Linked DNA regions of Lonchura striata. The protein of the gene in region 1 purifies or fractionates together with the protein of each later gene. This does not show direct contact. Links are inferred from orthologs where the notes say so. Each region holds a gene or a part of one and is shown on either strand. Other genes may lie near its edges. The genes, in order: RPP30, RMP64, POP1 and RPP25L.

Region 1 (7,884 bases):
TCTTTGACCATTACCAAGTTGGAAGCATCTTCTTGTTTAGTCAAGTGTTTCCCTACACTTTGTTAGTTGCTCGACAAAAATCACGACAAAAGCAACGAAATCACAAAATAAAAATAACTGCTAACCACCCATAATGTGTTCATCAACCTTGAGCCTCAGGTGAGTTACCCCACCAGGTGATAAATGAAGTCTTTTGTCCTCAGTTAAGTAAATATTAGGAAGAAAAAGGCCTTTAGAAAAGGCAAGGACATATCTAAATTAAAACATTAAGGCAAAACTTGTAGAGAGAATGTTTCCTTATTGGTTGAACATATTTTTTCAAAAATAGCATTTGAAGAACAGCTAAGGAGTTAGGAACTTAGTAAATTTTGTTCAAAATAGATTCTTATCACAAAGGCTGATAAAATTGTACAGTTTAATACTCCTAGTAAAAGCAATTTTTCAGTTGCTTAAAATGTCACTAAGGCAGAGCAAATTATAATCTGGTGCTTCCTGCAAATGAGTTAACACAGTTCATTAAATCAGTCATTCTTCTCCACAGCTTTTCAATACCCTTCTGGGACGTGATTCTCTAAATGTTCTCAGTGGATGATACACAGGATCATTTGGTAGGGTACGGATGACTCCTACCCACTCGAACCCAAAAGTAGGACTGAATTGTATCTTTTGTTCTGTATCTTAAATTCCCTTACAGTCCATTCCAAGTTAATCACCTGATTTCTTTCCTACTCAAAGGCCATGTTACCACTCTTTGATTTGCTGTTGTAATCTTACCTTTGAAGAAACAAACCAATTTAAGTCAATTTATGTATCATTATAGAAAGGGATTTATGTACTACTGCAGAGAAGATGTGAAAAACCCTGCCAAGACAAAGCAGCTGACACCTTACTAAAATATGTTCCTTGAAAGCTTTTTACTAGGACACACCTAAAATAACTTCCAGTTTCCCAGGCTGGGCTGAATCCAGTGAGGTGCTTTCCGTGAGGGTTTAGAGGGTTTCACATGGCCAAGTGTCCAGAAAGGCAAAGAGAATCCATCATTCCATGAGATGACATCCAGTCTAGGCACTTAAAATAACAACACATGAAAGTGGGACTTCGTCTTTCCAAGGGTACATCCCACTTTTGTTTTCAGTGATCATATTTAAAAATTCTAATAATGTTGTTTCAGATAGAATACAGAAGTGAAACAAATGTCCAATTAGGTGTCAAGAATAACAAGCTGACATTTGTTCTCTACCCAAGAAATTGCTTTTTAACCTTCCATTAGGCTTCAAAAAATACAATCAAATCATTTTTCTGGTTGAGCTTAGTAGAATCCTGTCTTATGAGTAATTTAGGCTCTCTATGCATAAAAGCCTCTTAATATTTCCATATACCTCCAATTCTGTGCCAAGTTTTTTTTCTGCACTTAGTAAAGTTAAACTATTTTGTTAATATTTGATAGTGTACTTTATTTGCAAATCTCACCTTTGGTATTTTATTATTGCTATGTAGAAAATATTCAGATTATAAAAAGAAAAAAATGCAAGAGAACCTTTTATTTTCATTTTTCCCTCTCCCAAAGTAGTTAATTCCTCTGTTTAATTTTTCCCCTCCTCCAGAAACAGTGCTAATCACATAACATCTTCAGCATTTGTTATTGATACTAAGTGTATACTATTGCAGTGGGTATTGCTATCAATTCTTTGCTGCCATGTTAGTGAGATAAGGTAAGACAGGTCATTAGGGCTAGGCAAGGAAATACAGTTTCCCAAACACATTTTGATTTAGTGGGGCCAGACTGTATCTGTCAAAGTGTTTATGTTGAAAAATCTTGCATTAAATCCTGGATCCTTCATCCCTCCCTGGAGGATCTGATGCTAGCACAGACAGCAGGTCTGTGCTAACGTGGAGGATCCTGACTGAAATGGGTCAAGGAATGCAGTACAAGAGCTTCAGCACCAGAGGAGAAAACGCTGACAGCCCAGCATGGTAACACCTTCCTTCACGCAGCTGCCTCTAGAAAACAATAGCTCTGCTCATCTTAGCTGGAAAAGCTGAGGTACTGCTATGTTCCCCTTCTTAAACCATCCAGTATTGTACATATGGCAGGAAGGTAACATGAGTATGCAATGCAATAAATAAACAGATCAGAATTTTTTTTTGTTCTTTTTTATCATCCCCTCTTTTGTCCTTCCTTGCCTGAGAGAGCTTATCTCCTCAAGCTGTTGTTTTAATTTGTCTGTCATATCTTTTCTTTTCTTTTCTTTTCTTTTCTTTTCTTTTCTTTTCTTTTCTTTTCTTTTCTTTTCTTTTCTTTTCTTTTCTTTTCTTTTCTTTTCTTTTCTTTTCTTTTCTTTTCTTTTCTTTTCCTTTTCTTTGCTTTCTAGAGGTATTACTGAAACCTTGATTTTTATTCCCAGCATGTACTGTTTAGCAAATAACACTTGTCTAATTTCTAGAAAATAGTTGCAGCTGCACTTTTCTGCCTTTTCTTGTCTTTGTGAAGATAAATCATCATCACTCTGTGGCAGTAAAACAGAGAGGTAACTATTCCCGTATTTGGCCATTTCTTACCATTGTCAAAATAAATACTTTCATCTGTGCAACTTAAATATGAAATTATGTCTGTCCTTTTCTGGAACCAGCAAATCCTAACAATGACAAACTGGCATCTGAAAAGAAAATGAACAATTAAGATGACATTTATGCTTAAAATTCTGTATCACTCAAAATGAGAGCTCCCAACTCTGAAAACTCCATCTTATCTTTACAGTGGAGATTATGAGGTTATGATGAAAGTGGCTGTGACACTCATGCTACTGAGGTAGATAGTAATAAATAAAATCTTATAGTTGCTGAGGTAGGTAGTAATAAATAAAATCTTAGCACCCAAAAAGTGCCAAATGCAGAACTAAAGCAAAAACACCCTAACAGTTGCTACCAGGGGCTGCCCATGGAAAACCTATTAGAAGAATTGTGATGGTCTCTGCATTAAAATTTACTGAAAGGACAGTCTTGAGGTCTAAGTGTATTGAGAAAGAAACACTTGGAATGAGGAGATAAGTTTTCACCAAGGAGAACTTAATGACAACAATGAAACAAAGCATGTTAGAAGCTTGCAGCTTAACAGTGAGTACCATAAGGAAATTCTCCCCAAATCACTGGGTCTGACGTATGTAAAAGCAGTAATAGCTAAATAATAACATGGAAAATAAGACTGTGCACTGTTCTAAGTACAATTTGTGATACCTGGTGCTAAAAGTTCTTCGTACTTGGATTCTTACACCATTACAGAAAATAGGGTTCTGTAGATCTTCTGCATGAAGATCTGTTTAAATGTCCTCCATTTTAAGAACCTCAAAGAAGGGTTTCTTTTGCTTGTATACTGCCAAACACAAAGGCTGCTTAATCTTTGGTATTTCTGAACACTGTTGCAGTAGGGCCATTCAGAAATAACTGAATGGATTCTGGATTGCTTTTTACATTCATTAAGACAAATCAACTCAAATCAAACACTGAAAACCTAGAATAATATCTTGAGCTGTTCTGTTTTCACACACATTGAAGAAAGACCTTGGCAATACCATTCAGGCTGTGCTGCTTGTTCAGTTGGCTGGCAGAGGAGCAGTATTGGCTGATGTGGTGTCACAGGCAAACACCTTACAGATGTAGATGGACTAAAACAGAGCTTCTTTACTGAAATATCTTGATCTAATATGGTCAAGAAAACAATGTTGCCATAGATGTGGTATGAACAATGACAGCTTACCAGCTGGGGGTTTTTACCCCTTTCAGAGTGATGTGGATTTTTCCTGCCATACAGATGTGGGAGCTGCTTTCTGCTGACCCTCAAAGCTGCTTCAACTCCTAGTCCAGTGTCTGCAGCCACAAGTAGCTTCTCTGCTACCATCATCCCAGGTATTTGCAACTCATCACACAGGAAGTCCAGAAACACGCCGAGAAAGCACTGTTGTTTCTCAGCCATACTTTGTTAACCATGATGTCTTTGGTAGAAATGAATCCCAGGTCCCCACAATTCCCATGGACACAGCTTGCACAAGCTGCATCAAGGTCAGACCCTATAAGGAGGGATGTTCACGCTTTGGCAGCAGCCTTGGCCTTGGTTAGAAGCATTTTTACCTTATTAAGAATTCAGGGCTCCAGATACTCCACAGACGTCCCCTGGTGAGCATTTAGCTCAACTTGAGGACAGAAAAAGGGAAAGACCCCCTGGTCTGGCCACCTGAACTTGGACAGGAATTGCAAACCTGCTATCTTTAGCGGCTGCTCTAAGTCACCAAAAACCGCCTACTGAGAATTTCTATTTGTATTTTACATATTCTGTGCCATTTGCCAGCATTAGAACAATATTAGTACTTTTTGTGGCAGTGCTACACAGTGAACTTTTATCTGATTCATCGGTCTGTGAGAATTCATCTGTCCTCTTCGGCGTCAGGGGTATTTTGACATGGCAGCTCGGGGCTTTGTAGGAAAGAGAATAGCTATGAAACTATACATAGAAAAGATTGGCTATGATTTTTATTGGCAACGCTCAGACAGAGCTGAAGCAGTTTCACAGGGGATAAACCCGGCACTGGAGCAGGGTTACCGCTCCACCTGGCGGGCACCCGGCGCCTCAGGGGCGCCGGGCCTCGGCCGGCGGCGGAGAGCGGCGGGCCCGGGGGATGCAGAGCCGTGATGTCTCTCACAGCCCGGCTGCGCTGCTGGGAACGAACCACGGGAGATCTCCAGGGCCTAAGGCACCACCCCACAGCCTTTCCCACCCACCGCAGTCCCGTGGCGAGGCAGCAGGGCTGTGTGGGGCGCGGCACAGCGGGACTACAGGGCCCAGGCTGCCGCGGGCGGGCGGCAGGGGCGGGGCCGCCGTGCGCCGCTCCGCGCCGGGCTGGGCCCGCCCGCCGCCCGCCAGCATGGCCGGCTTCGCCGACCTGAACCTGCCGCAGGGAGCGGACAAGAAGTGCCTGCAGAGCCTGCTGGAGGCCGCGGCGCACCGTGAGTCCCGGTGGGGCTGGGCTGGGAGCGCGGGCCGGCCCCGGCCAGAGGCGGCGGGACGCGAGCGGCGGCGGCTTCCCCGGCTCGGCAGGCGCAGCCGGAGCCTGCGGGCTGGGTGGGCACAGATCCCCGGGATGAGCCTTCCCTTCCCTCCGGGCAGGCCGGCATCGCCACCCGCCCCGGCGCCGCTGCGCTCCGTGCGCTCCGCCCGCGGCTCTGCCAGCGCAGTGCCCGGGCCGGGTCTGCCCGGGTCGGGTCTGCCCGGGCCGGGTCTGCCCGGGGCCGGGTCTGCCCGGGGCCGGGGTCTGCCCGGGGCCGGGTCTGCCCGGGTCGGGGTCTGCCCGGGGATCTGGTCTGCCCGGGTCGGGGTCTGCCCGAGACAGGGTCTGCCCGGGTCGGGGTCTGCCCGGGTCGGGGTCTGCCCGGGGATCTGGTCTGCCCGGGTCGGGGTCTGCCCGGGTCGGGGTCTGCCCGGGGCCGGGTCTGCCCGGGTCGGGGTCTGCCCGGGGCCGGGTCTGCCCGGGGCCGGGTCTGCCCGGGGCCGGGTCTGCCCGGGGATCTGGTCTGCCCGGGGATCTGGTCTGCCCGGGGATCTGGTCTGCCCGGGGCCGGGTCTGCCCGGGGATCTGGTCTGCCCGGGGATCTGGTCTGCCCGGGGATCTGGTCTGCCCGGGGTCGGGTCTGCCCGGGGATCTGGTCTGCCCGGGCCGGGTCTGCCCGGGCCGGGTCTGCCCGGGGCCGGGTCTGCCCGGGCCGGGTCTGCCCGGGGATCTGGTCTGCCCGGGGCTGGGACTGCCCGGGGCTGGGTCTGCCCGGGTCGGGGTTTGCCTGGGCCGGGGTCGCTGGGGAAGCTCCTGATGCGCCTTGCAGCTCTGCCTCTCCCTGTGTATCCCAGCGTAACAGCTGTTTTTTCCCCAACGTGGACCAGTGTTTCCGCCTGCAGTTTCTAGGGCTCGGCTCTTTCCCTGCAGAGCTGTTGTCAGCCACGTGCTGCCTGTGCGGGGTTTGGGCGGCTGGTTTAAACGCCCCTGGCGTCTCTTCCTCAGAGCCCTTTGAGCGGTACCTTCTCCTCCGTGTAGTCGGCATCGTTTTGAATTGCTCGCTTTGCCTTCTCCGACAGCTGTATCTCTGCCGGCTCTGCGTTGTCTGCAGTTTTAACAGCTGTGCTGAGTATACTTAGCAGTTTTCCATAGAGAAAGTCATAAACAGGGCCAAACTAAGCTAGACCTTTGGGGACACCAAGCCCATGTATTTGTGTTCATAAAGCTCTGCGATTGAGTAAGAGTAGAAAGGCCTGGACTAGGCTAAAAACCAAATAGATTTTTTTTTTCTGTTTTAAAGTATTTTTTTGGGTGAACCAGTCTTTTTAAAAAATACTGTGAAATCTAAACATGCACATGGTTATTAACCTTAAGACATTTAAGTAATGACTATTTTACGGTTTTCTCATTGGATTTATTGTCTTTTTGTTTACTTGACAAAATATTCTTACTATGTGTTTTTCAGTGGGGTATTCTGCAGTTGCACTTAATCATGTCATCGACTTTAAAGAAAAGAAACAGGTAATTTTTCTTGGGGTTATTTGGTCTTACTGTCTTTTCCTTAGTAAACCTGCTTCGTTACTGCATGTTTCCAGATAGCTTTAGCTACAGAATGCACATCTAGACACAAGTACAAATCTCTGTATTTGTAACAAAACTCCCATTTTATATTGCAGTAAAACTGCCTTTGGATTAATTTTTAATCTGCTTCATGTACTGTCCCACAAAAATAGTTTTCTTAGTGTGGTGAATTTCTTAAGATTGGAACACAGTTTTTGTTTACATGTAAACCTAACCCATAACAGTTTTAATAACTTTATTTTCTTCTCTTTCAAGGAAATCATCAAGCCAGTATCCCCTTCAGAGTTGTTTCCATCTTTACCTATTGTACAAGTATGTCTAGTTGCATTCTCTATATATACTGTTATTCTGAATTACCCTTTTTTACCTTTGTGTGTTTGTATATGTGATTTTGCGTATGAGGTGTTAATCAAAAAAGAAAAATTTGTCCATTGTTTCATGGTTAAACCTCCAAGCATAGGAAGAATAGTTAGCTCACATCAGGGTAAGCTCTATTCATTATTTTAGAAATTATTAAAGAAATTTCTTTGTGTGAATTTTGAATCTGCTAGTAATTGAATAATTACAGTACAGTTCTTGAAATTTAAGTTTTGGAAATAACTTTGTGGTTTCAATGGAGCAAAATTTGGATATAAAAAAGTACAATAATATGTTTTGAATCACTGACATTCATTAATTCAGGAACTGCTTTTACTTGCTGTTGTGGCCTGCCTGAGGAATCACAACAGTAGTAAAACATACTCAATTTTTCTGCATAGTTGTTTGTCTTTTTTCTTTCCTTTTCTATTTATCCTTCTCCAGAGAAACACAGTAAGTCATTCTTTGTAAGGACAGGTATAATATCAAAGAGATATATCAAGACACCATTTTCTTTTTATAGCAGACTGGTGGAAATTACCACAAATTTTTGCTTTGGATTATTAATTTTTTTTTATATTATCCTTTTTTTCTGTAGGGAACATCTAAAAGAATTAAAGTCTTGACCCGCTTAACACTTGTTGTTTCTGATCCTTCCCACTGTAATCTCTTGGTAAGTATACTCAGCAGTCAATTTTGCAACTTCTATTTCTTTATGAATGAATGAAACTTTGGAAATTCTATGGGGATAACATCCTGGAATTTATAGGGCACTCAGCAGTGATTTCTGAGATTGCATCTTTAACAAATAATGTGATCATGAGGAGATGCAGGCTTACAAGACTGTATATGGCTTCTGTTGATCATTTTCAGTATGGAACAACAGTTCTGTTCCTTGGTTTCCGGA
Region 2 (7,210 bases), on another chromosome or scaffold:
AGCATTTTAGCCTTTTGCTTCTTTGCCTCAGAAGATATGTTAACCCCAAGGAAGTCACTGATATCAGAAGGGAAGGTAAACCCCTTGATATAAGGGGTCTGTTGGGTCTCAGATACCAGATGAAGCATTGTTGACAAGGCACTGTACAGGGACACGAGGGTCTGCAATACACACCTGTACTGAATCCTGTAGACAGAGGACAAAAAGGAATGGAGTCTCCTCCAGCAAAACATGATGCTCACTGAACAACTACCTTCAACTCAACTGTTGTTTTCCCTGTTTCCACTCAGTACAAATTTACCTTTTTACACTCCATCACCCTGCTTTCCTTAAGTCTGAACTTCAAGGAACTGTTCCACACCAGAATACAGGAGTGACTTGTAAATTCCTGATCAAGAAGCCCCTCCGTTTCTGTAGAGTTTTGCTGAGTGTCACACTTGGGACCCATCAGGTTCTTGGGTCACATCCAAGGTGCCATGAGGTCTTCACACCCAGCACCAACGCAGCCCTGACACCATACAACTGTCTGCTCTTTGTTTCCTGGAGTTAGAAGATTTCTTGTGCCACAGAAAGTTGCAAGTTGTTCTAACAATGTTGTTACTCCTTCAGCTACAGACAGCAGTTATTCTCCCAGATGGAGAGAGACCAAAACATCAATTTCCCTAGAAAACTCAGTGGTATAATAGAACATGTTTAACCCAGCCTTTCCATTTCCCCATGAGGCAGGACTTACTCCTTACTGCACAGAGTACCTGGTGTTTGTGGCAGGTTGACACTAACACTGTGATTTCATTAAAGCTACATACAGTTTGCTAAGATCTAAGAACAAAGCCATCCATAACAGCATGTAAGAAGTCTCTCTCCACCTGTACAGCTTTGCAGGTGCTAAAATCGAGTCCAGAGGAATGGAGTGACCTCTCTTCTCCTACTCCCAACTGAATAAAACTCCCTTAGCAGCCAGGCCTAATTACAAGCCCTTCTCCCTGACAGGCACATCAAACAGACACAATTAAGACAGACTTTTGAACACACAAACCAGAGCCGGCTCAGGAGCCCCAAAGCCACAGTATTCAGGAGTATGAATTCCCTCGAGCAGAGATGTTTAATGGACAAGCTGAAGATCACAGCAGTTAAGGTGAAAAAAATAAACAGCATGTAATGAGACTTGCTGAACACACCAACGAGAGGTAACTCACAAGGAATAATCTGGGAGATGAGTATCCAAATTTTGGATTGCTGAAGGTCAGAATAGCTGCTAGCCAAACAGCTTGAGGTCCCTACATAATAATTTGAAAAGAAGGTCTTTGGCTGTCAAAGGAACTTAAAGTTCCACATATGAATTGCACAGTTGAGTCCATCAGCAATACAGGGCCTATATGAGGTGCTACTGGTGAACTCTAAGATCATGTTTTTGTGGTGAAGAAAGGATACAGAAAAGCTTTACAGCAACAATCCAGCAGACGTAGTATGAGCTTGCAGCCTCCCAATACCTTCAGAGCCACAGTTTCCAGCATAGGCTGGCTGGGAACTAAGCACTCTGTGTGGGCTTTGGATGCATTTTTCCTGTGTTGAGACAAGGATGAAGAGTTGGTTATGATCTAGTATCCTCTTCCTTTAGTTCTGCAGATTTGAGTTAATGGATAGTACAAGATATGGGATCATGACACTTACTTGGGAATCAGTTTTACCAGAGTTTCCAGGCAGCCCACCAGATTCATTTTCCATAGGCGCTTCAAACATTGCTCTACCTAGGAGAAAAGCAAATTCCTTTGACTGGTATTTTGAGAGACTGAGTGCCCTGGTCTAAGAACTGTCACTATATTAAATGACACCTTCTCCTTATCAGTTAAACAGCCTACACTGCAGGTTTGTGTAATGGCATGTTCTGGGACCTTTCTGTATCTGCACTACGATGAAAAACATTCCTTCATTGCTCTACTGTAAATATAGAATTAAGTGAAGGACTGGAGTAGGCCATGTTTAATTGGTGCTGTATGATTTCCCTGCTGTATACAAGGGCCTATACTACTGGATGTCAAGAAAAAAAACACATAAGCAAATCAAGAAGGTAAGCACCATTCCTGCTCCAATTCAAAACAGTTCTTTGAAGATGCTGATAACCCCTTTCCTGGAAAACTGACAAGGTCTTCATTTTTCATCTTAAAACAGAAAGTATCTAATAAGTAGGACAGGATTATTATTCCTCCCTCCCATTATTATAATTATATGAGAATTATATCCCTGTATTGTTCATGTACACAAAGGTATAGAATTGTACCTATTTTGGGTCTCAACGTGAGTATCGGAGACCAGGGCTGGAAAACTGAAGTTGCACTTGCTGCACAGGGCCAAGAAACCCACTGGGCTCAACCGTGAGAGAACAAAAATGCACCCGCTCCCAAACTTTTTTTTGGCACGATGCTCTGAGCACAAAGTGCTACTCCACAGGATTTTTCTGGGGGCCGGGAGTACCCAGCTGCCGGGTCCCTGCCGCCCAGGCGGGGCTGGTGCTCACCTGCCGCAGGGCCAGGTAGGGCCGGTGCCGGAGCAGCCTGCTGTGGTACACGTAGAGCACGGCGCGCAGCACGCGGCCCTCGGCGGCCGGGCCCGGCCCCGACAGCCGCTTCCCGGCGATGCCGCACCGCCGCCGCAGCGTCGACAGCAACCTCACTGCGGGCGAGACCCGGGCACCCCCTCAGCGCCGGGCACCGGCACCGAGCGCCGCCTCGGCGCCCGCCGCCGCTCCGGCCACTCCTCCGGCTCCCACCGACCGACCACCCACCGTAAACACTCGGGAACGGCTTCAAACACCCCCCAACCCCTCGGCACCGCGCCGGGACCTGTGGGGTGCTGGGCCGCCAGCGGCACCGTGGCGCTGTTGGCGGGCCAGGGCACGTCCAGCCGGTTCCAGGGCACGTCCCGCCCGTCCCACGCCGCCCTGGGCGCCGCCATCTTCCCGCTGCGCGCGGCGAGCCCCAGCGTGGCCAGCACCATCCGGGTGGGCCGGCGGGGAGAGTCGCGGGCCGGACCAAGTCACCCCGCGGGGGTGCGCCATGGCCCGGGGCCTGGCGCTGACGCGTTGCAGCCCCAAATGCCGTAAGCGAGAAGGGAAATAACTATAAATAATGAGTGTTATTTACACTTCGAGCCTCGCAGTTCTCCACTGTGCGCCTCGGGAGCTGTGGCCGTGGTGAGCCAGCGCAGCAGCAGCAGTGGATGGTGCAGGGGTGTTCTGGGGATGACTCCAGTCCCCAGCCCTCAGCTGTGCCCTCCATGTCACACACAGCCCTCAAAGCGCTGAAAAAGCCGCGGGATCGGCTTCACACCTGGAGCCATTCACATCCAGACCAGACGATAAGAGTCTGAAGATGCACCGGGGAGGGTTCAGGTTGGACACAATGAAGAGTGTATTCACAGAAAGGGGGATCAGACACTGAATGGACTGCCCAGGGAGGTGACGGGGTCACTGTCCTCGGGGGTGTTTAAGGAAAGAGTGGACATGGCGCTCAGTGCCAGGGTGTAGCTGACACTGGTGTTTGTCACAGGTTGGACTCAGTAATCTCAGAGATCTTTTCCCACCCAGCTGATCCTGTGATTCTGGGATATCGGCATTCTTGGGCAAGGAAGGGCCTTGCTGCCCGTGCCCCGGGTACCCTCCTGGCCATCCCAATCGCTCCACGCGCACAGCCCCTGCTGTTGGAATTTGCTGTGCGAGGGGCCCACTTGCTCCTTGGGGCCCACTGCAGATGCCCCAAGGAGTTGATTGCTGTAATTTATTAGTGCTATTGGAATAGTTTCCTATCAAAATAATTTTTGTGGTGTTCTGAGTTCTCCTCCCTCAACTACAAGACACTTCCTGCCTCTTTCCTCCCCTGCCTGAAGTTGAATGTACTCTTTTTCTACTTGAAAATATTGGTATAATTAATATAATTTTTAGGAACTAGTTAAATGGAGCACAATTTTTGTACACGCTTACCTTCTTTGGATTCCATTTTGTTGTATACTTACTCTGTTCTTTTAAGAAATCTCTTACAAATACAAATCAAGTCATGTGCCTTTAAAAAGAGCAAAAATTGGCATAATTGGTTGCACCTGTAGGTAAGAGAGATAAGAGCAAATCAAGAGCTAGTACTGATAAAAAGCTGCTGTGAAAACTTGCCCAGTCTGGAAAAGGAAGTTTTAAGCTCCCTAGGCTAAAAGTGGAGGTTAGAGGTGAAAGGAAAAATGGAGCCTCCAGGCTGTGAGCAGAGGATCACAAAGGTCTCTGTAGCTGAGCTTCTGAGGTGTTTTGAACGTGCTTTAAGTGAGGAGCAAGCCTGGGCTATCTGCTTCCAGTGTTGCAGGAAAATAGAGCAGCTGGCCCACAGCCCACCTCTCTGTTCTGTGTTCATAAAGGGTTCTGAGAGCATCTTTATCCATGCTGATGGTACTGCTTCCTTCAAGGTCTACCACAAGTCTGGTAAGAGCATAGGTACCCGCAGATGCCAAGGGTTCTGAAATGTGAGGACAAAGTAGAGGAAATTTCATTTCCTCTGCCTTTTTTGGTTTTCTTTCCCCCTCTCTTCTGGGTATGTTGTCATGAAGCTATTCTCCTGCCTGTACTTCATTTCAGAGGACTGTAGATGAGTGATAATACAGATGTATGACCTACTAAATTCTCTAATAGTGCTCTGTTGAATCATTTGGTTCTAGGGAATAGGTGTGATGAAAGCCTTCTACTACTTAATGTTATTTGAAATAAATAGTCTGAGGCTTTGTTATATGTACTGCTCTATTCATCTTCCAGTGTATGGTTCTTTTGTTATGATAACTCTTGATTGGTACTTTCCCTTTTTTGGTCACTATGTGTAACCCAGCAAGTGGTAATAACTGTGTTATGTAGGGCTGGGCTGGGCTGCAGCAGAGGTCAGTGCTAGGCTAACTCTTCATGGACTAGAGTGGGTAGTAAAGAAGACAAAAATCCTGTGTCTCCCCTGGAGGTTGGATATCAATTAGCAAACAACAAAATGCAGTAGCTGTTACTTTGGCTAATGCTCACAATAGCATGAGTCTCCTATAGTGTTTTCCAGGACTCCCCAAATACAGGCCTACTTTCCCCAGGTAGGACTGACTTTAGTCAGAGGAGTTAGTTACCTTAATAAAAACAATGTTTACTCTTTCCCTCTCTTGAAAAGGGTTCTAAAAGCTGGCTGCCAATGCCTGTACAGCTGTCTTTCTCCCCTTATCCTCATTTTTCTCTTTCAGATGTTGGCAGCATTCAGCAGTCAGAGGACAAGGTAAGCCTGTGTCTCTACCTTCATTGTGTGTGCAGGTACAATCCTGTTGTAGTAGAAAGCCTGCTCAGGAGATGCAGATGTCTTGTGAAAGTATCAAGGTGCTTGAATTTACTGTGAGAGTGACTCCTCTGCAATCTGGAACAGGAAACAAAGTGCTTGGACTGAACTCAAGTAAGACAATGGGACTGGGAAACAGTGTGCACAGATGCTGTCTACTGTGGCATAGGCCACACTCTTGTTGTCCTAATGACAGATATCTTAGAGGTACCAGTTAAGGCCATTTAAAAGCTTTAAACCAGCTTAAGTGGGAGCAGGGGCGGGTATTTCTCATCGTGAGAGATGTTCTCAGTCCTCAGGAGCAGAGGACTATGCACACATGGCTGGAAAGTAAGAGCTGTGATGTTCTCCACAACACTTTGTGCTGTATTGCTTCCTTGGTCTCTGTCTGTAGCTGTTGGAGTACCTGGGAAGGGTGATCTATGAAGCCCTGGACTGGGGAATCAACAGCCAAATGGAGCGAGAGCTGAGTGATCCTTTGGAGAAACTGCTGTGGCTCATGTTGAAGCTGGATGACAAGGCAACAAAACCACCAGTCGCCCTGCAGGATGTTATCAAGGTTTCCTTGTTCCCTCTTAGTAAATATAGCAGCTTTAGAGGAGTTGATGGAATAGCGCTGTTGACCAAGAGGCAAGACCATTTCTGAGAGAAAGCTGGGTGGCCTGTTTGGAGGACAGAGAGGGAACATTGGCTTTTCCATCAGAGGGAAAAAGCAAAACTATTTAAGATGTTTGTAAGTGCCCATGGAAAATAATTAAGAAGGAAGACTGAGTATGGCTCTCCCACAATTGTGTATACAAAGTCCTTCTGTACACAGTTTCCAAATTCATTACCTAGAACACTGTGGATATTAAAAAACCTCCCTTTCTATAGTATTTGGCTTTTGTAAAGGTTGGGATTTGAATGTCTCAAATCAAACAGATATTTTCCTCTCAGCCATAATTTAAAGGTATGAGAAAATTCCCATCCCTCTGTCTGATCAGGGCAGGGAAAAAGAACAGGGCAAGTGACTCCATCTGCTGTGGGTTGTTGTTCTTTGAACTGGAAGCTTCCCCTTTCGAGTGCTTGTTTAAAAGCACACTTTATGGAAAACAAGATAAACAAATTACACACCTACATCCATTATTGTACGTAAAAGATTGGATATCTTCCTTCTTTGTTCTTTTGTATCTGCAATAGAAAAACAATGTAAGTGAAGAAGATGATTTTTAACCATGGATTGAGGAAACAGAATCTTTATTCCATCCTACCATGTTGGGTTTTTTTTAAATTTCAAGATCTTTTTTAAATAGCTTCACTTCTTTCAGGCCTGTGAGGAGCACTTGTCCAAGCCTTCTGAGGCTACCAGCCATTATGAAATGACTTGTAGGAATCTGTTTATTGAATATATGGAACTACAGGAGCTTGTGACCTTCATCCAGACCTCCAAAGAGGTATGTTGTTGTGGATGATAGATAAATATGATTGTTCATAAATAATACAGCTAGGATGAGAACAGTTCTCCCAGCTAGCCGGATGACACCCCTGCCTTTGGATGGGTCCTGGGGTGAAATGGACTGTTCCATCCCACCCCCCAAAACATGTATAGTTCACCCCGCACCTCTATCCCTCTTCTAAAACATCAAGTGTCTGTAACCCCGTTGGCCATGCCTTATTCCAACCCACCTTGAAGCCCCTTTATAAGGAGGCTTTGAGGGACCATGTGGGCTCTTGGAACTTCCTCCCCTCTTGGAACCTCCTCCCCTCCTGGGGCTTCCCCTCTCCTAACCCCTCCTTTTGTCTCTCCCCTCCCCCCCCCTCAGGCCCAGCCACGTGCTGCGTCTGGGAGCACGAGGCAGGACCTTCCTGCACCCCCAATAAACCTCTTTCCCCAAGAG
Region 3 (7,338 bases), on another chromosome or scaffold:
ATGATCTTTTCACATAAACAAACCTGTTATGTATTTTGGCATTTCCTCAGAAACACTTGGGTGTCCTCCTTGCCATCCTCCTCTTCCTCTGCCTCTCTCTCCTCTATTTTGCCCCTTTGAAAAATTTTGGTCTTTCCTGTAAGAAGGCCCAGATGACTGATTTGAAAATTTCTGCTGCTGCTGCTCAGAACGAACATCTCCTGGAAGGTTTAGAGATTAAAAGAGGTTAGAGAAACACAAATTAGTCTGAGTAACTGATAACTCTTATCAGTCTTTCCTCATAAAACTGCACTGCAGACTCCTATTACATTTAATACATGTAACTGAAAAAGCCACCAAAAATCAGAAGAATTACATTCTTTCTTACAGGAATAAATAAGAATTTTATGCTGCCCTCAAGCAAACTTGTGATAGATTAAGTAACTTTTACATGCTCTGAAAATGGCAAGCAATCCAGACTTTGCCTCCAAGAGTCAAATCGAAATCAGTCCATGCAACATCATAGTGACTTTTAATATTGTCTTGTCAGAGCTTTAGTAACAAACCAGCAAAGTTATTTTTTCCACTTTTTTTTTTTCTATAAGCAAATGTATTCTTGCCCGACATATATTTCTTTCACAGCAATAATTAAGGTAAATATGACACGTGTATGTTGGTGCAGTAAGTTGCTTGTCTGGTACAAGCAAACCCATACTGAAATTAAATAACTAAAGCCTGCAGTAAAGCTTTCTAAGGTACAGACATACCTTTCAGGAGTGCTAAGCACCTAGCAAGTACCTAAAGTTTCAGAGAGCCTTGAAGTCCTTATTCAAAGACCACTGTATATTCAGCCTAACAAATATTATATATTAGTTTAGATTACTTTATGTTCAGTTAAGCCCTTGAGATATGGTTCTCAGGCAGTTCATGCTGGACATTCCAACTAAAAAAGCTGCAGACAGCCACTCCTATGACCCCATCCACTACATCAAGACAAGTGCTTGAGAGAACAAGGGGCTACAGCATTCAGGGATCTTCCCTAGTGAAAATCAACCTGTGTGTCCACAGACATGGAAAGAGAGATTAAAAAATCCGGTTTTCAAGTTGATCAGCTTCTTAACCAAGCCTATCCCAAAAATGCTACCATTGGCATGAAGACCAGCCAGGAGCAGACTCACATCCAGCAGCATCTCAATTTATGAGAACTTAAAAAGACAAAGAATCCCCTTTTTCCATTTCAAAGAAGCAAGAAACTGAAGTTTCATGTTCAGCAGCAGTAGTGTTGTAGCCTGCTGCAACCACACATCATGCAGAACTGCAGTAAAACTGCAGAAAAAATAATTTGGTGTAGAAACAGAAATTAGCTTTTATGTGGAACAATTCCCTGACCTGGTTTTCCACATACTTGAGAGCAGCATCATCCAGACACTGAGGTGAAGGTGAGAAGGAAATAGCTGGGAAAGAGGCATGGAAGCTGTCTCAGCAAATCTGTGTAGGGCTACAGCCTAAAATTAACTCATATCACAAACACACCCTCTTAACGGAGGAAGTAAAAATTGTAATCAGAAGACCAAAGACTGTTTGGCAAAACAGTCACTGACTTAATAACTAAAAAACCCTTATATTATCTTAGCTACTGTATAGATCCACAGTTTTGTAACTCCAATTTACATTTTGGACCTCCAATTTTCTCTCCTATTTCTACAAAACAGCTTTGTAAAACTGTGATACTGACACTACAGAAGAACGCTACATGGATGAAAATCCACACCTTATAACATAACAAAAAAACATAACCATGTAATCTTGGAAGTTCCCTGCTACAAATACAGTTAGAAAGACGTATTGATCTGGCAGTACTCCTGCAATGACATTCCAAAATCTTCAGACATAGCTAAGCATAATTTGCTATGTCATTCTGTCTGCATAGGAACTCTTCGGTCACCTAAATACACAGTGATACTTCAGGGTTTTTTTTTCATTCAATGACAAAGATGCAATTTGTCAGCTTCTGAAGGCCTCACAGTAACAAGTCCTTTTATGTGTGGGGCTTTTCCCAGAAATAATGCAGGTAACAAAATATCTAAATATGTAGATGGTGGTGGAAACTGAGGTCCGATAGAAGCATAGAGGATTGCAGGTCAAACCACAAGGACAAAAAGAGCATCTAGCATACAAGCTGACAGGCTCTTTCAGTCTCTTGCTGCAAAGGTTACCTGGACAGGACACTGCTATTATGGGACACGTCCCGCTGCCTCCTGCCAATACCTTCACAGACAGAGGAGCCACAAGGCGCAGGAGGCAAAGGGGCGGGCGTGCAGATGTGAGGAACAGCAGCGCAAGCATCGCAGCACCAGCGATACACGGCCCTCCCGCAGCTCCCCGGCCCCGCGGAAAAGCAGGGGAGACACCGGATGGGCTGTAGCATCCAAATTCATTTTAGACTAAGAACCGTAGGGATTCGTCATGTAATCGAAGGGATGATAGAGAGAAGGGCCTATTCACAGGGTACAGAATAGTTTGGGTTGGAAAGAGCCTCTGGAGACCATCCAGCCCAGCCCCCCCGCCAAGGCAGGGTCACATAGAGCAGGTTACACAGGAACGCGTCCGGGAGGGTTTGGAACGGCTTCAGACAGGCTCCCACAGCCGTACCTGGGGTCGGGCAGGCTCTGCTCCCGCCGCCGGCGAAGGGCCCCGGCTCCGCGGGCAGCGTGACGCTGGCCGGTTGGTTCCTCATCTTCTTGGCTCGCTTCTTCTCCCGCGCCCCAGACATCTCCGGCGGGGTTGCGGAGCCTCTGTAGCGGGAAGAGGCGGGCAGCGGTCGGCGGGCGGTGCAGCCGCGGAGCTCGGCACCAGCCCCGACGCGGCGCTCACTCGCGGCGCGGCCTCCACCGACACACGTGGACACCCACGCCCCGGCACTGCGCATGCGCACTCCTACAGCACAGCCCTGAAGGACTACATTTCCCAGAGGCCCCCGCGGGCGGTGGTGGGCGGGCCGTGCCCCGGCTGGCGCCAAGGGGAGGGAGCGCAGGGGGGCGGCCCCAGCACTTAGTGCAGCTTCAGCGCCGGCTCCAGCCATGGCCTCGCTCGTGAAGAAAATAATCAGCACTACCAAGGCCCCTGCACTGGGTCCCTACAGGTAATGCCTTAGCTAAGAAAGATGTGAGAGTCTTGGTGGATAACAAGTAGACCATGAGCCGGCAGCGCCCTTGCAGCCAATGCTTTCCTGGGGTGCATCAGGAAAAGTGTGGCCAGCAGGTCGAGGGAGGTGATCCTGCCCCTCTGCTCGGCCCTAGTGAAGCCACGTCTGGAGAGCTGTGCCCAGTTCTGGACTCCTCAGTACAAGAAAGACAAGGAGCTACTGGAGAGGGTCAGCGGAGGGGCACAGAGATGATGAGGGGTCTGGAGCATCTGAGGAGACTGGGGGAGCCGGGCCTGTTTAGTCTGGAGAAAAGAAGACTGAGAGAGGATCTTATCAACACTCATAAATACCTCAAAGGCAAGGTGCCGAGAAGATGGTGCCAGACTCTTTTCAGAGGTATCCAGTGACGGGATAAGGAGCAGTGGCCATAAACTAGAACACAAGAAGTTTCAGCCCCACATGAGGAAGAGTTTCTTTATTGAGAGTGGCAGAGATTGGAACAGGCTGCCCAGGGAGGCTGCAGAGTGTCCCTCTCTGGAGACGTTCCAAACCCAGCTGGATGCATTCCTTTGTAACCTGCCTGCCTTGGCGGGGGGCTTGGACTGAATGATCTCCAGAGGACCCTTCCAACCCTAACAATTCTGTGATTTTGGGAGCAGGTTTTGCTGGCAGGGTTTTGGCAGGTCTCTGCAGGTCAGGCAGGCAGGCCTGGGGCTGAGGTGAGAGCAGGACCCCTGAGTGGGGGCCAGTCCTGGCACTCCCTCCCCCAGTAGCCCCCAGGGAACCTGGAGTCCCAAAGCACGAGTGGGGCTGTGCTGCCATGGCAAACTGCAGGCCAATTAGGGGAGGGGGTATAGTTCAAAAAGTTAGTTTAGGGAAAATAATTCTGGAATTAGTGGTAAGGAGTGAATGGGGGAAAAAGAGGAAGAAGAATGATTGTTCTCCAGAAAAAGGTGCTTGGCTAGAGACGAGTGTGTTGTGTAGGGAAGCTGGAAATGCTGACTGCACAGGTGATACAGAGTGAAGGCTGAGCCCAGTCCAGGACAAGCTTGGTTAGATGTATAATTCAATGCCTGGGAATTAAAAATCCTTTCTTATTTTAAATAGTTATGTTTTTCAGTCTAAAAAACTAACTGCTGTAAAAATATGTAAGATGTTCAACATTTTCACAAATATGTTGTTGTAGCAGTTGTATATAGAATTAAAATAAAGAAAAATACCAGTTTTAATTAGATAAAGACTTCTCTGAAATTTGGATGTGAAAAGATGTTCAGTCAGTATAGTAGATTCTCATAGCTAAAGTACTAAAGGGTTATTACCAGGACGTTTTCTAAAAATTTTTAATTCTGTATTCAGGCTTTATGTTCACAATAGCATCTTCGTGCCTTCCAGGTGCATTTTTGTCTCCATTACACTGTGTCCTAAGCTTTCTAAGCTTCAAACTGTGTGTTTCTTACAGGCTTTATAAAGATGGAAAAATACAAGTGTAGAAGCAGAGAGACATGGCATGAAGGTTAACTTCTGTAAACAATAACCTGTTTGTGGATTGCAGCCAGGGGCCTGACGTTGCTTGGCATCAGGAGAACATCTAAGACAGGGGAAGGCAACAATTCTTTGCACACACACACCAGTGTCCCAGCCCTCAACATAGCTTTCCACTCTGAAATGTTGTGCTTATTGGCAGTTTTTGATGAAATGCTGCTTATTGTGTAGCTTGTTAAATGTGTGACAAGTCTAACATCAGTAAGTTTATCAGTAACTTATTTTATCAGATTTTAGTAAACTTGACAAAGTCCAGAGGGCAGAAGTTGCACAAGAAATAACTGCCACATCTCTGCTGTGAGGTCTGAGCTTGGTTATGCAGGGATGAGGGCTTAATGTGGAATGAAGAATTGGGATGAATGAGCTGCATTCCTGGTTCTGCTGCAGCCCTTCAGTATGCTTTTTGGTGACCTATTTTTACTGTATTTTTCTATTTCCTTTACTCCATCCATTTGCCAATACCTTGAGGTAGGTAGATATATAAAAAGAAACATATCTATGTGTGGGTCTATATATCTCATTAACATTATTAACAGGATACTGTTCTTGTATTAATCCACAATAATTTATGTAAAGAAGATCTGATTAAAAAAGAGCATGGTTCCTAACACCATCTCTCTGACAATGTTGTTCTAAGGTCACAGTGTCAGCCCAGTTATGCGTTTAGGTACACTGAAGCCTGAATTACTTTAACACACATTCACATCCCTGCTGATTAATGAGTAGCTACCGTTGGCCCTAGTTATGAGGTGCATCTACAGTTGAAGAATGATTGGGGTTTGTGGAGTTGAAGTTTCCCTTAGCTGCACTCATGCATTTGAGTGCAATGCAAGTCTGTTCCTTGGCTGGTAAATTGTTCCTAGTCTCAGTGAATGGAGGATTCCACTGGTGAGCACACCAAGAGCAGGAAGCTGATCAGACCCAATAAGGCTGCTGCAGATGTTGATCTGGCAGTGGTATCAGAAGGCTTCAGCCCGTTCTTTCCCAAGTTAATAATGATTTAGGACTCTCAGATGACCTCTGAGATAAACATTTCACTGTCATTGTGTTGTACTGCTTATCACAAACCAAATCTCTTTTAGTGGAGAACCCGTACCTTCTTGTTGTACAGCTCTCTGTGCTTCAAACAGAAACAGAAGTTTGTGCTCTGAGGGGCCCCCTCCACAGCAGGAGTGGTAGGAAAGAAAACTAAAGTGTGTACATGCACACATTTCTATCAACAAGACTGTGTCAGCTAGAAAACTATTCAGTGGTTTCTCTTTGTATGGTGTAGTTTTGTGATTTTCTCCAGTTTTGTTAGTTGATGACAGAAAAAATAATCCCCATGTAAGATAGTTTACTATATCTGAGAAGTTGCTGGCTATTTTTTCCCCATATAAAATTACAGGAGAATGTAGGACAGGTGTAAAAGGAAAGATGGGAATGATGGTATTGTTCAAGCTGCCTAACCCTGATTATTTGACTGAGTCCCTAGATTAGGTTTGTCCCCTGTGAGTCCAACTGAGCGAATCTCAGTTGAGAGATGTACTAAAAATATTCTCTGAATGTGCCCCTCTATTTCCATCAACATTAAAGGGAAGAAAACCTCCTATTTCAGATACCTCAGGGAGGTAATTCTAGTTTGTGTAGCTTGAGAGAATTGTTGAATGTTGAAAACAATGCGTTTCCTTGTGGAATGAGAAGAGATAAGAAAAACAGTTCCAAAATAATCTTTCTATAATTTCTTTGCAAAATATTTTTAATTACTGGTTGAAGAGAATTAAATTGTGTCTCTTGTATAATGTTTGCTAGATAGTTTAAATCTTTGTTTTCAACTTTTAAACTCTTTGTAGTAGAGACACTAATACTTGCCAACTCAGCTTCAGCAAAAGCACATTTGACATTTTTATATAAATGTTTTGCAAATAACTTGAAGTTTGCATTCTTCTGAATTAACCCAGCAAAGAAGTCACTCAGGTTATTTGGTGAGAGGAGAATGAGTGTTCTGGGGATGGAGTGGTCAAGGTGTTTTGCTGACTGGCCAAATTCATTACTCCGGAGGAATACTGCCAGAGAACCAGGGTGCAGGTATCACCTCACAGCTGTAACTCATTTTCATAGTGCCTGTTTAACAAGAAATATGTTAAATCTCTTTTTTATTTTCTTTTGGTTTTTTTTTTCCCTCCATTGATCTGCAGCTGAATTTTGGTTGAAAGGTATTGTTTGCTTCTCAAACTAGGATGGAATATTTATCTGGGCAGGTGCAAAAAATGTTTTTATTTACTCTGCCTTCCCTCTGTGCTATCTGTACAGAAGCTGTATATCTGTATGGAACCTGTAGCTCAGTTTAGTGTTGTGTTGCTGCATTCACACCTTGTGCCTTTGCAAAAAACAGGGTTTATCTCCTCAAGGGAAGAGCTATGCACTCCCATAGGTGATATAATCCCAGCTCTTCAAAAGTTTAAGCAAATTGGTGTATGACTGCATGTACAGGCTTGCATGTGCAAAACTCAGTCTGACACATGATAAAGTACTGTAGAAAATTTGAAATGTGCTTTTGGATTTGAAGTGTTTTTGTGGGGAAACATTAGACCTAAAATGCCACTTGTGTTTTCAGCCAAGCCGTGCTGGTGGACCGGACAATGTATATTGCAGGGCAGATAGGGCTGGAACCTTCCACTGGGCAGCTTGTC
Region 4 (7,561 bases), on another chromosome or scaffold:
TGCTACTATTTAACTGACAGCACAGAGCGTGGGTCCAGCTGGAGCTCCCTGCACAAGCACACGGGAAGGACAGGGAGTGCTCAGGACAGGAGTGAGCTCTCTTGAGGCAGGAGCTCAGCCCGTCACAGGAATAGCCTTTCTCTCTGGCCCAGAATCACTCACCAGACCTGTTCCAGAAGGGAAACTAGTGCACAAGAAAAGACGATACATCCTTTGCATCACTCAGCAGAGTTCCGGACGAGTCTTTTTGAGGCTGCAGTTCCAGCCATTTTAAAGCAGAGAAAAACAATTAGCAAAAAACTTCAGAGGAAAACACCAGAACCTTGATCTATTTTGGATGTGAAAGGAGGTTATTAACCTCCCCTTGGATCAGGGTCCATATACAGTCATGAGAGGAACAAACACAGAGCAGCAGGAAGGCTGGAAGAGTAGAGCTTCAGCCAGCAGCCACAACTCCACCACCAATGCTTACAGGGTGACCTCCAGTGGGATCAGTAAGACATGACAAATTTCCAAGTTACATGAAGTTACATCTTTATTTTAAAGCCATCTTTGCGCATTTTCAAGGAGCAGAAAGGGGAAAGAACAGGATCCTTTGGAGCTTCCTATTACCACCACCCCAGGACAGCTGCAGAGCCACAAGATTTCAGGCTGGCTACAGCGTGAGTTGACTGCTGCCTGTTTGGAGAGAACCAGGACCGCCAGCTCTGCTGAGCCAAGGAGCTACATGCACATGATGCCAGAGCTGTATCCTGGCACTCCTACATTCAACCCCCTCAACAGGCTCAGCAGAAGGATTCTTCAGGCACAGAAATGGCTGGCCCAGCCCTGTGCCCTGCTGTCTGTACACTTCATGAGCCCAGGTGATGCAGGCAGCTGCCTGAGGATTCCAGATCAGGTCCTGTCTCCCCTCTGTACTGGTCAGAGCAACCTGCACCTGGCACACAGACAGGTGTCTGTCCCGCTGCCTGGGCTGCTGCACACCCAAGCACCTGAAACCCCACTGGGTTAGCAGTGCTTCTCTGGGGCTCACTGACAGCACACCAACTGTTCTTGCTCAAGAAGAGGCAATTCCCATCTTCCACGATCCCCTAAGGAGTACAGCCTGGCAGCCCCTGGCAAGGGAACTTGTCAAAACACATTTTCAGACAGCTATCATCACACCCAGTTTAACAGTCTGCTCCTCCTGCCCTCCCCTCACACCTCTGTGAACCCCTGTGTTCAGCAGCAGCCGTGCAGCCACAGCCCCGGGCTGGTTTCTGCAGCTCCCCTGAACCACGTGCGGATCTGCCGCCTCAGGGCCCCCACGGCATTCCCCTGGTGGAGCGAGGGTGCTTCCCTGTGCTGGCAGCTCCCCGGCCTCCACCCTGCTTCCTCTTCATCTGGCCCTGTGATTCTGCTTTCAGTGTCTCAGTCCAGAAGGCATCAAAAGATCCTGGGGCCTGGTATCCTGACTCCTGAGGATCCAGGGCATCTTTGCTCAGCAGGACACATATGGCAGGAATGTTTCTCTTCACTGTCAAGGCATCGAGGCCTGCCTCAGGCACAATGGGTTCCCAGATTTCTTCAATCTGTTTGAAGAGCACTTTGGTGATCTGGTGCAGCTCCTTGAGCCTTCGTTTCATGATTTCCACACAGGTAATGGTCTTGCTAACAGCCTTGCCTGAGCCAGTGAAAAGAATCTGCCTCACTGAGTCCTGCTCCATCTTGCTCATGGCATAGCCCATCAGATTCCTAATTTTGCTCCCGTCCTTCACCTTCATTTCAATAATATCAGCAGGCAGGTCAGTGAAAGGAGGAGGACAAGGTTTCTCCACAATTTTGGTCTTCTTATAGTTCTCCATTCTGCAATGCTGAAAAGGAAAACAGACCCATGAACACACTGCCCACTCTAATTGCTGCCCAAAGAAACTCTCACCACATTTAGCCACAAGCTTTTCTCTGAAGGGCACTCTGAACTATCAGGGTTGGGAAATCCTGGAAAGGGACAACCAAAATATTAGCCCAGTCCTCTTAAGGACATACTTACAATATGAATGATACCACAGGGCAGCCTGAGTTTTGGCAAGCAGGCTGTGAAAAAAGCAAGTGTTAGTGTTGTGGGCTTAACCATGGTGACATGAAAACACTGCTGTATCTCAAGAGAAGACAGAACAAAAAGTGAGCTGGGGTGACTGAGAACAGAACTCGGGGATGCTTGCCACACCAGAACATGCACAGGACAAATTCAAGCACAATTTACATGCAGCAAGTCGTGTACAAATACAGGCTCATGGAGACCTGACCAGCCTAGCTGAGGCTAAAACACTGCATGTCACAAGGGAGATGGCAAGCCAGGGGTTGCAGGAATAAAAAAACATTTCCTCGAGGGAAGGACAGAAAGGCCAGGCCTCGCAGCTGCCGTCTGTGCCAAGGCAGGTGCCATCCTGTCCTAGGTCTGCTTGACCCTGTGCAGGGCAGCCCACGTCCCCACCGCACAGCTCAAGGGGCTGAAGGTCGCAGTACTTTGTTACCCGCAGGCTCCTGAGTCCCGCTGCGCCCAGACCCTGCACCCCGCACCGCGTCCTCCTCGGCACACGCTCCGAACCCTGGGAGCACACGAGGCCCGGGCCCTCACGCGGCCGCCGCCGCCATCGGAGCCCGGGGCGCCGGGGGGAGCCGGAGAGCGCCGGGGGGCGCCGGGGGGAGCCGGAGAGCGCGGCGGGATGCGGGAATGCCGGTGGGAGCCAGGGAGGTCCCGGACGGGCGCGCGGAGCCCGCGCTCACCTGCGGCCGCCGCAGCGCGCGCCTCGACACAAGATGGCGGCCGGCGCCGGGCGCGCGCACGCGCGAGGCGGGCGGGGCCCGAAGGAGGCGCGCGCCAATCGCACGGCGGTGACAGCGGGGGCGGGGCGAGCTGCGGGCCCCGCGCGGCACGGCGTCCCCAAACCTAACCCTAAACCCTGACCCTAAACCTCTCCATAACCCTGACCCTGACCCTAAACCTCACCCTAACCCTGACCCTAACCCTAACCCCAACCCTGACCCTAACCCTCACCCCAACCCTAACCCCAACCCTAACTCTGACCCTGACCCTAAACCTCACCCTAACCCTGACCCTAAACCTCAAGCTCACCCTAACCTCAACCCTAACCCTAACTCTGACCCTGAACCTAACCCTGACCCTAAACCTCACCCTAACCCTAACCCTCACCCTAAACCTCAACCTCACCCTAACCTCAACCCTAACCCTAACCCTCACCCCAACCCTAACGCTGACCCTGACCCTAAACCCTGACCTTAGCCCTGGCCCTAAACCTCACCCTAACCTTGACCCTAACCCTCACCCTCACCCCGATCCTAACCCTGACCCTAACCCTCACCCTGACCCTAGCCCTGACCCTAAACCTCACCCTAACCCTGACCCTAACCCTCACCCTAACCTCAACCCTAACCCCGACCCTAACCCTCACCCTGACCCTAAACCTCAACCCTAACCCTGACCCTAACCCTCAACCTAACCCCAACCCCGACCCTAACCCCGACCCTAACCCTGACCCTCACCTCAGCTCCTCGGGCAGCTGCAGGGAGCGGGGCTTTTCCGCAGGCCTGCAGCCCCACCGTGGTTTGACAGCCAGCGAGGCTGCTGATCAGAAACAGCTCTGGGACCGGCGAGCTCTTCTGGAATTCCTGTGGGCATTCTGCCCGTTCCTGCAGGACTCCCAGGGTCACACTCAGCTGGGCAGTGTTTCACCGACCTGAAGGGTTTGAGACCCTTGCAAAAGTATGGCCTTGGAAACTCCATGCTACAGCCAGACCAGGCAAGGCATGGCCTATGCCTCCCTCTAGAAAGGCAAAGAGCCAGAACGGGCCTTAGACTGCAGCAGCCTCAGGAAAGCAGAGGCAGGATAAAGGCAAAAGCTGCTACCTTCTCTCAGCACACAGATAGGAGAACAGCAAGGCAGAAAAGATCCCTAAGACCAGATTCTCCTGGGCAGACAACTCACACAAACAGGAAGAGTGTGGAAATGGTTTCCCTGCCCTTGGCCCAAGGCTGAAAGGAACCACTAGCCGTTTCCTGGAGGCTGCAAAGAGATCACTGCCTGGGGAAATATCCCCAGTCTGTGCCAGGAGCAGTCCTCACACTGAGGGAGAGACAGACAACCCAGTTAGCATTCCAGGACTTTACTATGGCCCACAGTAAGCACAGAAATGGGGTTTTGAAATACATTAAAACTGAGATGCATTTCAGAGAAATAAAAGATTTGCAAACAGTGGCAGATTAAGGAGCAGTGTGGCTTTGACTGGCGGCTGGCACAGTTCTGCACAGAGCTGGGTGCTCCAGGATCCTGCTGCGTCACTTCAGCATGCTCGCACCAAGCAGGAAGGAGCTGAGACCAGCAGGATGCAAGCTGTGCCACAGGGGCTCTGGACATGCCACTCTCCCAGCTCTGCCATCACTCTGCCACAGGTTTTGCTTGTTTGGCCACTTCCAGGCGTGTCAGGATTTCATTCCACTGCACAAACTGCTTGGAGAGAAGCAAAGTCTGGACACAACACTTAAGGAAAGTTATGTGGAAACTGTGAGGAAGAAACCTAGGTCAGAGCATCCTGACAGCACCATTACAATTTTGATTCCTTAGGAGAGGCCCAGGGCACCAAGGCACTTCATGGATTCACTCCACCCAGTGGCTGAGCCACTGCACAGCACCATACACCCATGGGAGTCCAGGAGGTACTTTGTGAACTCCACACACCACCGCCATGCAAGGGCTTTCCACAGCTTCCCTACCCACTCTGGCTTTGGGATGTGCCTCAGCATTGGGATCCTTCGCAGCCAGGACAGTGACATAGGTGTCACCCCATCAGAAAGGCTGTTAAACCCCAGGCTGGAGATGCAATGGGATCAGCCAGGGGAAGGAGTCAGTTCAGGAGTTCCAGGCATTTTAAAGGATACCATTTTGTTGTAATCCTCAAGGAGTGTCTTGACACTGTCAGTGAGATCGTGACGCTTCTCCTGTGAAGAGGGGAGCCGCAGTGCATGATCAATAAATAAGGTGAACAACATACCTCCCTTCCCAGTCCACGACAGCATGGCAGGAAACTCATCCAAGGCCAGCACTGAGATCAGTGCTCAGGCCCTGGCTGTGGTGCCCACTGCAGCTGGACAGGTTTTCACAATTAAGAGAAAACTGACAAACACTGGTCCCATGAAGCAGCAAACCCCCCAGGCTTGCACTGCTGCTTGCCTTTCCTCAGTATCCAGGCTTTGCTTGCCCCGGAACAGAAACTCAGAACAAAATGCTGAAAGAGACCATTAGGAACTGCCCAGGCTGCTCACTGCCAGCTCCAAGAGTGCTCATACAGGGAGGGAAAGGGTGAAGGGACAGGCTGACAGTGTCAACAACGTTCCAGAGAGTAGGACACTGGAGGAGAGCAATGCTTCACCTCAGAGTCTCAGTAAAAGGGGGAATTCAAGATGGTTAAACCAAATGTCCCTTACTATGTGTCACTGAAAGCTGTTTTGAGCAGGGTTATGGTGGGCAAATTTCCAACTTGGACCAAATTCACAGAAATCCTGGCTCCTTTTTCCCCTAGGAGTACTTAAAACTTCTTTAAGACTGTAGTATGAAAATTCAGATTGCAAAGAACTGCCATAAATGAGCAATTCAAGCAATTACAAATACTGGGTGTCAGTACAGCCACTTGTAAAAGGTTTCTAGGCCCTTCTACTCAATACTTATAGGAATGTTCACGGTACCTGCTGCTGTATGTGGATCTGTGAGAGCCTCTGCAGTTTGGCTGCATGGTCAGGAACCGCTGGAAGCACAAAAGAGAAATCAGTTTGGGCTGTTTTACAGCACATGGGATTAGCTCCCAACGTAAACCCCAGTCTTCCTCCATGAGCACAGCATGGCAGAACTCCACTTGCTGAGTGCAAGTGTCCCACACTATAGATAAAACTCACAGAGGATAAAAAAAATTACATAACTATCCTGCACATGGCACAAGCTCAGGGATGCCCACAGCGAGGGCTACTCACGAAACACACGGGACTAAACCACTGGCCAGAACAGATATTCTGGATGTAAAACAGCTCACAGGAAGGAATGACCTGCCAGGCTCCACCCCCTCTGCCACAGTGCTCTCTTTAGCCTGCTTCACAAGCTACTCTATCACCTCCATGACTTTGCAAGGGAGACTAGGGCAGCATGTGGCAGGAGCAGACTAACTTTGTACTCAGTTTACTTTCACACCACTAAGCTGTCTTCTTCTCTAGTCTCAGACTCAAGAGAAAAGAAAGCAAGCAGGACAGGCCACAGCTTAGCAGGTGGCATTTGCAGCTCCAGCTTGCAGAACATGCATACCTTGGATACTGGTGCTGTCCAAGATAGGCTGGAGGTTCTTCACTTGCTCCAGAAGGGCTGCACGGGCAGGAATAGCCTGTTCCTCTGGTTGTGTGGGGACAAGAAGCAACATCAGTAAACACAAAACACTGCTCTGGCTTTTCACTAGTGGTAATTTTCCCAGCTGATCTGTCTTTACAGAAAGGATTCATGATTTTTCATCACTTTTGTGCTGCTCATCCCTGGGTCTTGACTGACACCAATTTCAGGCAGGAGAATCTCCACCACGTTCTAATGATAGGACAAGGAGTGTACAAATGGAAAGAGGGGAAATTTAGGCTGGATATTAGGAGAAGATTCTTTACTGTGAAGGTGCCCAGGAGGATGTGGATGCTCCATCCCTGGCAGTGTTCAATGCCAGGTTGGATGGAGTCTGAGCAACCTGGGAAAGCTGGGGAAGGTGGATTGGGACTGGATGGTCCTTAAGTTCCCTTCCACCCCCTTAACATTCCGTGATTCAGTGGAATTCCACTGACAGATTATACTGGTCACGGGTTGATCAAACTCCTTGGGTCAAGAGAGGACAAGGCTAGGGGATGTCAAAACACACCCAATTGTCCCAGCCTGGAGAATACTGAAGTGGGGTAAGGAAATCATCCTAGCTCCCGCTTTTCTTACCAGCCTTTGATGAATTTGGGGCTAAATTGAATGATCAATACAGAAGAGATCAGAGCTGACAAAACTGCAGTGTGGCTGTGCACAAGGGAGCACTGAGGGTGACAGACACCCTTGTGCAAACCATCTCTCTGATACCTCCACAGGGCCTGCCGTGCCACATTTTACCACTGAAGAAAATAAATTCATCCTGACCCATCTTAGAGAAAGGATGCTTTATTTGCAGTGCTACAAAAGCCTCCTCTTTCCCCTCATCTCATACCTGCCAAGATGAACTGCAGCTTCATAGTGTCTGGAACAGCCATCCTGTCAATGTACTGGGGGTCAAGGTATTTTATTATATCTTCAACTGGAGGGATAAATAGGTTTGGAGACGAAAAGTAGGGAGATGTTATGGCATTCATAAGAGCAGCATTTCATGGAGAGCAGATCCTGACATGGGCAGATGGAAATTGAGCAAATAACAGGCTCCAGCCGCCCATTTCCCACTCTGCCTGCTGAGCTGGAGATTGCAAGCACATAAACCTCTCCCAGTTATTTATTTCTGTGCCAAACAAACT

The links.
Region 2: the proteins of RPP30 (region 1) and RMP64 purify together in Homo sapiens (affinity purification with mass spectrometry; 3 studies listed by BioGRID and IntAct, counting the BioPlex papers as one, with this or other methods). This does not show direct contact. The link is inferred for Lonchura striata from reciprocal best matches to the Homo sapiens genes RPP30 and RMP64.
Region 3: the proteins of RPP30 (region 1) and POP1 purify together in Homo sapiens (affinity purification with mass spectrometry; 5 studies listed by BioGRID and IntAct, counting the BioPlex papers as one, with this or other methods). This does not show direct contact. The link is inferred for Lonchura striata from reciprocal best matches to the Homo sapiens genes RPP30 and POP1.
Region 4: the proteins of RPP30 (region 1) and RPP25L purify together in Homo sapiens (co-immunoprecipitation; 3 studies listed by BioGRID and IntAct, counting the BioPlex papers as one, with this or other methods). This does not show direct contact. The link is inferred for Lonchura striata from reciprocal best matches to the Homo sapiens genes RPP30 and RPP25L.

What each region holds. Positions count from the first base shown.
Region 1 is NC_134609.1:16,214,442-16,222,325, forward strand, and holds the start of RPP30 (ribonuclease P protein subunit p30), read left to right. Parts: upstream 1-4,875; 5' UTR 4,876-4,916; coding exon 4,917-4,998; intron 4,999-6,504; coding exon 6,505-6,560; intron 6,561-6,875; coding exon 6,876-6,932; intron 6,933-7,575; coding exon 7,576-7,650; intron 7,651-7,884. UniProt on the Homo sapiens protein: Component of ribonuclease P, a ribonucleoprotein complex that generates mature tRNA molecules by cleaving their 5'-ends. Also a component of the MRP ribonuclease complex, which cleaves pre-rRNA sequences.
Region 2 is NC_134604.1:23,965,661-23,972,870, forward strand, and holds the start of RMP64 (nucleolus and neural progenitor protein), read right to left. Parts: upstream 3,010-7,210; 5' UTR 2,995-3,009; coding exon 2,841-2,994; intron 2,671-2,840; coding exon 2,516-2,670; intron 1,749-2,515; coding exon 1,672-1,748; intron 1,564-1,671; coding exon 1,432-1,563; intron 1,115-1,431; coding exon 1,037-1,114; intron 187-1,036; coding exon 1-186. Other genes in the region: protein spire homolog 1-like, read left to right, coding at 4,225-4,459, 5,245-5,276, 5,728-5,892, 6,641-6,766. UniProt on the Homo sapiens protein: May play a role in cortex development as part of the Notch signaling pathway. Downstream of Notch may repress the expression of proneural genes and inhibit neuronal differentiation thereby maintaining neural progenitors.
Region 3 is NC_134603.1:22,720,013-22,727,350, forward strand, and holds the start of POP1 (ribonucleases P/MRP protein subunit POP1), read right to left. Parts: upstream 3,013-7,338; 5' UTR 2,909-3,012; coding exon 2,632-2,908; intron 201-2,631; coding exon 24-200; intron 1-23. Other genes in the region: RIDA (2-iminobutanoate/2-iminopropanoate deaminase), read left to right, coding at 3,060-3,121, 7,263-7,338. UniProt on the Homo sapiens protein: Component of ribonuclease P, a ribonucleoprotein complex that generates mature tRNA molecules by cleaving their 5'-ends. Also a component of the MRP ribonuclease complex, which cleaves pre-rRNA sequences.
Region 4 is NC_134642.1:40,931,602-40,939,162, reverse strand, and holds RPP25L (ribonuclease P protein subunit p25-like protein), read right to left. Parts: upstream 2,826-7,561; 5' UTR 2,767-2,825; intron 2,602-2,766; exon of another isoform or gene 2,514-2,601; intron 2,305-2,513; exon of another isoform or gene 2,026-2,304; intron 1,854-2,025; 5' UTR 1,845-1,853; coding exon 1,296-1,844; 3' UTR 510-1,295; downstream 1-509. Other genes in the region: DCTN3 (dynactin subunit 3), read right to left, coding at 4,437-4,526, 4,937-4,996, 5,741-5,799, 6,348-6,431, 7,264-7,350. UniProt on the Homo sapiens protein: May be a component of ribonuclease P or MRP.